Bombyx mori: one gene and its partner. Each later gene encodes a partner of the first gene's protein in a complex. Links are inferred from orthologs where the notes say so. Each region holds a gene or a part of one and is shown in the gene's direction. Other genes may lie near its edges.

Region 1 (4,511 bases):
GCCGTATCCAGGTCGTGTCCACAATGGTGGCACCTCGTCGTCGGCTCAGCTCCTATCCGGTGCAAGTACTTCACGAAGCATCCGTGCCCGGGCAGCCCCTGCACCAGATGAAACGTGAGGTGTCCTGCGCCACGATTCACCCAGTCATCAAAGAGTGGGTAAACCACCTCGACAGTCCGTAAGCCCCACATGGGATTGGCCAACCGCCTCGACCACGATTCGAGAAACTGAACCACTAGAATGATTTCCATATTAATTCAGGAATCTCGAATTAATTGCTATAGAAACATATGACTGGTTCATCCGATCTTTGCCGAGGCAAGCTGCCTACATAGAACTATACCAACTTAACAATGACGATAATGATCTGTTAAAAATTGTACAATCTTATTAAACTAAATGGTTATCTATAGAGTCCACAATTGCATGTAATGTTACCAAATTATAAGAAAGATGCTATACAGCAGAATCACTGCATATAATGTATGCAGATGACGTCAATTATGCGTGACATTGCATCTATGTATCCAATTCTTACTGATATTAACAGAATTAATAAATTATTTGAATCAGAAGAAACAGATAATTCAAAACTATAGGATGAATTGACAAATTGATTGATACACTTATTGCCAAAATAATATTACTCAGAAAGTAGATACTTTTACGTAAAATAATCAAGATTTTGTAGACAAGAAATTTTATTTGGGTACAGCTTGAATCTCATATGTTAACGATGAAAGAACAAGAAGTTCTACCGAATAAAGAGGAAATAGTACGTAAGAGGTGTATCTAGTTCATTGTACATTTGATTCCTGAACTAAAAAACAGGTTTCCCGAAAACTTGAAACTCATTAAAAATATTAAAAGAATTAGTGTAGATCATGCACTATCTCACAATAAAGAGCGGGTTGCTGACATGGTGTTTATTTTGAAAAACGCAAGAAGATATTTCGAAAGTTGCCGAGCATCAAATCCATTTACTCAGTTGGAAAAATAACAAAATACAAAGGAATTTTGTACAAGGTACTGAATTTCAAAAAGTTGGCTGGAGAAAACCGATTTCAATATTTAAACACATTTGCTATATCTTTATTAGTTTTACCGAATTCTAACGCTGACGTAGAGCGATTATTTTGCATTTATTTAGCATTAGCATTAGCATGGCAACACAAAAAACAGAAACTGAATGAAGCTAGATTTGCTATCTTCAATTCTCACTGTCAGTGCTAGCTTAAAACGCGAAGGAAAATGCAATGCAATAACTACATACTACCAAATAGCATAGTACAAAAAATTGCGACCAAAGAAATTTATTCTGCAAAAACAGAAATTGTAGAAGAATCCCTTCTTCTGAAGATAATTAAGTTCTTAATTTATTATATTTTAGGACTTCACATAATATCTGTCCGGCAAAACACAAAACAATTTGTGGATTCATTAAAATAAAGCTGGCAGCACTGGAGCAAGTATCACAATTGACAAGATTTTGGCCTAAAGGTCTAAGATACCAGGCCATAAAATCCAAAAAAATATATATCACAATTGACATTTGACAATCTCGACGTATTCCGCCTGCCGATCGCCAGGGCTCCGGATTTTATATTTTAATCCAAAAATTCAAAAGAAATTGCTAAACATGGGCTATAAATTTCTAAAACTTGCCTCTCCTACCTTTAGAGTAAGTACGAAAAAAAATAATCATTTCCTCTTAAAATTTACAATATCACAGAAGTTATGCAATGGTATAGGTCCCACCTATACGTATAGCTGTTTTTTACAGACATAAATACACCATAAATTATTCGATTTAATAAATCTACAAAAAGTTTTTGCTCATCTTTGGATTCGATTTTATTAGAGGTAATAAAAACAAAATAAATAATTAACCTGTAATGACCTTCAAGCATGTGATCGTGTCATTCGGCGATAATCAGAGACGCTCTGATATTTAATCTCAGTAGTAATTTAATTTAAAATTTTATTTATAACTTGTATTTCTATATTGTAGTACTGTTTTTTTCTTACAGAGTGGAAGTTTAGTACGAATTGCTACAAGACAATATGCTACCACACATGATGCAGATCTTGTTGTTATCGGTTCGGGCCCTGGTGGATACGTAGCAGCTATTAAAGCTGCCCAGCTTGGCATGAAGGTCTGAATATTAAAAAGATGTTGTGGGCATCATTTCTATGCTATACATTTTTACAATTAGAATTAACTTTTAAAGATTAATATTAACCTAGAGTGAGTGATAAAAAAATTGGTGATTTCTTTAGGTGGTCTCAGTAGAAAAGGACCCTACTTTAGGAGGTACTTGTCTCAATGTTGGATGTATACCATCAAAAGCTTTACTGCACAACTCACATCTTTACCATATGGCCAAACATGACTTCAAGCAAAGGGGTATTGAAACTGGTGAAGTTACATTTGACTTCAAAAAGATGATGGAATATAAAGCTAATGCTGTTAAAGGCCTCACAGGAGGTATTGCAATGCTCTTTCAGAAGAACAAGGTGAGTCATAGCATTATCAGAAATTTGATTAACTAAGTTTTAAAAAAAAATGTTATATTAATAACGTTAAAGCACATACTATTTCAATTTTGATCTCTGACAAATCTTTTAATATGCTTAGTTAGATCAATATAAGTTTTTCTAAGTTTGTTTTATAAATAATAGAAATTTTACAACTAATCAAGAGATGTGCGATATACACAATCGCAAAAAAGATGGTCATTTTGCATTTTAAAACTAAAAGATCTATAGCCTTATAAGCATATATAAGCGTATATGAATGTATATGAAAAACAAATTAAAGGCTTACTTCATGATTATTTTTCACTGTAAACAAGTATCATTCAACCAGTTGTCTTGCTAAAATAATAGGTAGAAATAATAGGCTTAGTAATTGAACACCATTTTCCAATATGTAGAGGAACTATATTATTATTGTTTTAGTTGTATGTAAAAAAAGGTTATTGTATTTGAATTTTTCATTATTGCAGGTTAATCTTGTCAAAGGTGTAGGAACTATAGTTGCCCCAAATAAAGTTGAAGTACACGGAGAGAAGGGTGTTGAGACTGTTAATACCAAAAATATTCTAATCGCTTCTGGGTCTGAAGTTACACCTTTCCCTGGAGTTACTGTAAGTTATTCTTAATAGATATGTTTATTTTATTAAGTGGCAAAAGGTGCAAATTGACAAAAGAAATTTTCTTGCCCTCACACTAATCATACAAGAATAGATAGGTTTTTGCCTTTTTAGTAGTGGTAAAAAGTTACTTACATTGCGAAAATAGTCCCTTTTGATATTCTTATCTGCTCATATTAGAGGAATTCTGCTTTTGTCAATTCAATTAGCCATGATGTGTTCTAATTGATTACAAAATATAAGATTAAATAAAAAAGAGTGAAACTGCTTGTAGCATATTGTGATTATAAATAGAATAGAATAGATTATAATAGAATAATTAGATAAAACATTTTCCAGAATTCACAACAGGCTTATATAAATAGTTTATGAATAAACTTTGTTCTTCTACTTTCTTCAGGAATGACTGCCTCAGAATAGCAATTAAAAATAATATAGGGCATTGTAGTATGCATTAGTTAATTTAAAAAATAGCTTTGTATTGCGATGCTGCGGCTTTTGTTGTAATATCTCTGCACTGTTGTTTTTGTTGTAATAGTCCTAAGATACCAAGCTGGTGCATAGGGCCTTCATAAGTTGTATCCACTTGACCCTATTTTGCGCTTGCTCCTTGACATCACTCCAGGTCATGCCCGTCTCTCGGCCCGCTGAACGGGGGAACCGGTGGTCTTGTCGCTGGCGGCCACCGGTCCGGCGTCCGTGAGACGGTGGGATGGATGTAATGTGCTCTGCGTCAACCCTGTCCCGCCGTTTCAATAGCCCCGACTGGGCTCCGGCCCGGTCCGAGGTAGGGCGCCGGTCGTGAGCGGCAGGAGTTTTTAGTGAGGTTCAACTCCCACATACCCCACCTGCCGCGCGGGTGGGGATCCGGCGATTTTCTCTTGTGGGAAAAAAAAAAAAAGGTCATGCCCGTAGTCCTCGTCTTGCACTACTGATATTTTATTTGGAACAATAAAAATATATTTTGAAGCTATTACATAATGATATTTCATCATAGTAGTTTTAAAACAATTTTAAAAATCTAGAATCACATCTATACAGTTTGATGAGAAACAAATAATCACATCGACTGGAGCACTTTCCTTGGAGTCAGTACCGAAAAAAATGTTGGTGATTGGAGCTGGAGTTATCGGTTTGGAGCTTGGTTCTGTTTATCAAAGACTTGGTGCTGATGTTACTGCAATTGAATTCCTAACTAGCATTGGAGGTAAAATAATAATTTTGTCAAATTTCAAATAATAAAATATGTACCTGTTATTAATTCCCATATTTAACTATTAATTTAATTCGCTTTATTAATGAAATTTAAAAAAAATCTGTATCAGTCACTATCTAGATCTATCTGCTAAGCTAATT
Region 2 (4,355 bases), about 2.6 Mb from region 1:
ATATTATGAGTCAGAGTACCTACATTCACCGTAAGGATTATTAATTATATTCATGTATTTATCAACTTTATAAACATGTTTATTGTGTCTTTAATAAAAGAATTGCTTAATAATCTATTTTTATAATTATTTGATGAATCCCTAATACCTATAGTGGTATATTATTTACCTAAATGACCTAAGCAAAAGAAGGTAAGAAATTTTATTTTAAGTTAACTAGGTAATGTTCATTATTTAAATTTTAAAACCCAAAAATTAAATAAAATTTCAATGTATGTGAAATATGTATATAAATGGTCCGTGTCCTTAAATCACCAAGCCTATCAAATCGGTAATCAAATAAAATTGTATCATTTATTATATATACCCTTGATTTGATATTTATTAAGAAAGATCTAATTGAAGTGGAGTGATTAGTTTTTTGCGTGGCTGTCTGTGGCTCTTCTATTGCTGTTATCCATCGGTGATGGTAGCCAGTTACGTTAGATGGGATAAAAAACAAAATGACAATATTTTTTTTAATAATTCAGTTGAAACAATTATCATATCTACACCTGGATATACCTTCTTTTTTTTTTATTGCTTAGATGGGTGAACGAGCTCACAGCCCACCTGGTGTTAAGTGGTTACTGGAGCCCATAGACATCCACAACGTAAATGCGCCACCCACCTTGAGATACAAGTTCTAAGGTCTCAAGTATAGTTACAACGGCTGCCCCACCCTTCAAACCGAAACGCGTTACTGCTTCACGGCAGAAATAGGCAGGGTGGTGGTACCCACCCGCGCGGACTCACAAGAGGTCCTACCACCAGTAAACCAGTAAACCACCAGTAACCTCACCCAACTTTCTCCAGAACGGGCTTATCTGGGCAGTATGTCGCCAACGGTTCTACCCTAACCTTTAAAAGGTTATCAATGCTTTACGATACCGCCGTAAGTAAGTTAAGAAACACATACAGTTTGAAGATTTTCGTCTTAAAGCATTAAAATGTTTTGGACAATGTAACAGATTAAATCATTTTTCCAAACCATTTTTTCTGCAATTTACTCGATAACCCTCAACACTTAAAGCTATTTAGTCTGGCTTTTTACTACTAGGCATTTATATATTTAACTTTTTTATTTATTGTAAATCATCATTCTTACTGAGAATGTGAAAACTTATTTAAATCTGTTGCTAAACAACACCGACTATGTCGTCATTAAAACCCATTGTATTTTTAATTTTCCATAGTTGCTTTATCAGTCTAATAGTAAAACTCGCAAGTTGGTTATTATGCGCGCTAAGAGTCAAGTTATGGTACGTACTGAAGCAGCGATGCCGGCTCGACCCAGATATATGCATTAGTACGGCTAACCTCACAGCTCACTGACGTCGTACGACTTACGAAATAACATAGTTAAATGAATAATTTACTCAAATGTTAATCAATTCCGTGGCCCACTGATAATGAGGCGATAACGCTCAGTTGTGATCGCGACCGAACACAGGGCTCGCGTCATGCTCTTTATAATTATTTAAAATTCGTGTTCTTAGTTCTTTCATAGCAATGTCGATTCTTGTTCGTAGATCTGTATTCCAACTGAGAACCGTGAACCGGTGCCGGAAAATCAAGGTGACGACGCAAAGTGTGAGTAACAAGAAGTCATATCATAAATACTTATAGCAACAACAAAAAATAAAGATAGGAATAACCTTATGCAAAGACGTTTTAGTATTTACTTACCTTTTGGCTCAGCCATGAAATTATACATATATTGTAATAGATTCCTAAATACTTATAATAGTTAGAATACAATCATTACACATAGCACCTAATTCGCTTAGATGTACAAGCATTATCGGAAGTACCTATTATATCAATTACCTAATATTGCTAAAATAAAATCTGAACTAATTTTAATTCTTCGTGGCAATAAGATAAGATAACAAGAATTGTTGTTGTTATGAAATTTTAATATGAGCGAAATTTTATCTACTAAATGAATAGGTAATAAAGTTAAGATAACATAAATCACAAAAACATCAAATCTTAATGTTTTTTTGTATGAAAATTTATCTTCATCCAAAGTCATAATTGTAAAAACAAAAAATAATAATATTAAAATTCATAAACACGTGATTATATTTAACATATTATAATGTAAAACTTGCCATAATATGATGAAGTTGAAATTTAAGCAATAGTTGTAATACGCAATTTATAATAATGCAAACGTAGGCATACACTTACGTTGACATTATTGTGCGTTTAAGAATAAAACTATCTATAATGAATCTTTGTGCCTAGTGCGAGTTTTTAAACGTTCTCGATAGCGTAAAAGTTAGCTCATATTTGTATGGAATGGGATCGTTAGCGTACGTTTGCTGCCAGGGGCGCTGTTCCAACTGCATACAAAATTGGCTTAACTTTTACGATATCGAGAGCGTTAAGAAATTCGCAGTAAGCACACTGAGTGCCTACTACGCCCTTTCGATACTGGACACGCAAGGTTTTTTATTCACTTGAAATCGTCTAATTTATATGTAACGTGAAGTGGGACTACCGGTATTAACACTTACCAGTTTATTGTAAATGTATTCACATTATTAATGGGGTCCGTGTTGCATGTGTTGAGGACTTCTGGTCGTATAGCAATCATCATTCTGCGATTTTGCAATGTCTGTTTTTGATTAGGTTATGCTTATGATAAAGTGTCCCAACATTTTTTCAGGCGAGAAACGGATCACAGCTATCTTACAAAACGCCTTTGAATGAAAGCTTAAGCAAGGAGTTAAGGCATTTCCACACCAGTCATGCTGTCAACAAAATCGTCGCTTTCAAGCTTTCTGATATCGGTGAAGGGATACGAGAAGTCGTCATCAAGGAATGGTTAATATTACCTTATAATATAAAACTTGATTATATTTTACAAAACTTACCAGTTTAATAAAACCTATCATTTTGCATTAAATATTTAGATTATTTTCATTTCAAGCAGTCAAGCACCTATACCTCGATTTGTAATTTGTGTTACTTACGTGTTTATTAGCCAAAAATATATTTAAATTCATTACTTATTTTCAAACGACGACGTATTATACAAAAATTCAAACAATTGTTTGTATGCTAATAGAGCACGCAAATCATTTCGTAACTTTTATGTCGAATGTATTAGGTAATTAGTTTAATAAGAGTGTTTTAATTTTCGAAGCCTTTTATATTTTAATATAACCCAACATTTAATTGTACGCGGTAACAGATGAAAATGAGTTTCAAGTTTTTTAATTCAAATGATTAATCAATTTTGAGTCCAAGACAAATATCTCGCTAACGACAATTTACAGTGCTAAAGGCGAACTTCCTTTTGTCAAATTATTCACTTCAATTGATTTTATTTGTTAAATTTGGAACTAAATATTCGTGTTTCTTTCAAGGTTCGTCAAAGTCGGTGATAATGTTCAACAATTCGACAACATTTGCGAAGTACAAAGCGACAAGGCAGCTGTCACCATCACTAGCCGATACGACGGTATCATAACACGACTGTACCATGATATTGATCAGACCGCTCTTGTAGGACAACCCCTAGTCGATATTGACGTGCAAGACTCTGAAAATGACGGTAAGCTAAGTTTTTTTTATTGCCCTTGTAGACAAACGAGCATTGTGAGTGGCTAGTCATGGACGTTAGCAATGACAGGGCAGTGCCAAACCGCTGCCTACCGTTACGTACTCTCTGCACAAACGCGATTAAGTTTTTTATCTTATTTTTGCTATTGCTTAGATGAGTGGACGAGCTCACAGCTCACCTGGTGTTAAGTGCTTACTGGAGTAAATGCGCCACCCACCTTGAGATATAAGTTCTAAGGTCTCAAGTATGGTTACAACATAAAGTGGACATAAACAAAAAAAATGTTAGTAAATTAAAAGTATAAATGACAAACGCGAATGCTAAACCGACCGACAAGCAGCAGCGCTATGGTGTTTAAAGCCGTCACGAAAAAAAATCGTTTTATTGATTTATTTAAATAATAATTTTCTGTAATAGCTTAACTGTATTAAGTGGCTACTTTATATAAGCAACCTTAATAAGAAATTGATGATATTGAAGTTCCCAGTATATTGGAAAAACTGATTGAACACCTACTTTTAGTGTATCTTTAGTGATAAAAAAAAAAGTAGTTTAATAAATGAATCCAGATTTTTTGACGTCATAATCAGCTGACAAAGCCCTTAAGAGATAATAATATACGTATAAAACCAGACGAATGATTTGTCACTGTTAATCACGAGAAATAAGTTTAAGGGTTCTAATATTTCATAGACGTAACCAGTGTTTTCAAACCAAAACTACTGATGCTACCTCCAAA

The links.
Region 2: the proteins of DLDH (region 1) and lipoamide acyltransferase component of branched-chain alpha-keto acid dehydrogenase complex, mitochondrial are in contact, whole or in part, in a crystal structure (PDB 3RNM), measured with the Homo sapiens proteins. The link is inferred for Bombyx mori from reciprocal best matches to the Homo sapiens genes DLD and DBT. Residues at the interface, in NP_000099.2 of Homo sapiens: Ser446, Thr447, Asp448, Arg449, Glu472, Tyr473, Gly474, Ser476, Glu478, Asp479, Arg482; in NP_001909.4 of Homo sapiens: Thr174, Pro175, Ala176, Lys196, Arg199, Leu201, Lys202, Glu203, Leu206.

The regions. Positions count from the first base shown.
Region 1 is NC_085128.1:7,019,279-7,023,789, forward strand, and holds the start of DLDH (dihydrolipoamide dehydrogenase), read left to right. Parts: upstream 1-1,569; 5' UTR 1,570-1,639; coding exon 1,640-1,681; intron 1,682-2,030; coding exon 2,031-2,156; intron 2,157-2,280; coding exon 2,281-2,517; intron 2,518-3,008; coding exon 3,009-3,149; intron 3,150-3,437; exon of another isoform or gene 3,438-4,035; intron 4,036-4,196; coding exon 4,197-4,362; intron 4,363-4,406; exon of another isoform or gene 4,407-4,511. UniProt on the Homo sapiens protein: Lipoamide dehydrogenase is a component of the glycine cleavage system as well as an E3 component of three alpha-ketoacid dehydrogenase complexes (pyruvate-, alpha-ketoglutarate-, and branched-chain amino acid-dehydrogenase complex).
Region 2 is NC_085128.1:9,588,608-9,592,962, forward strand, and holds the start of lipoamide acyltransferase component of branched-chain alpha-keto acid dehydrogenase complex, mitochondrial, read left to right. Parts: upstream 1-1,329; 5' UTR 1,330-1,551; coding exon 1,552-1,632; intron 1,633-2,716; coding exon 2,717-2,874; intron 2,875-3,419; coding exon 3,420-3,607; intron 3,608-4,355. UniProt on the Homo sapiens protein: The branched-chain alpha-keto dehydrogenase complex catalyzes the overall conversion of alpha-keto acids to acyl-CoA and CO(2).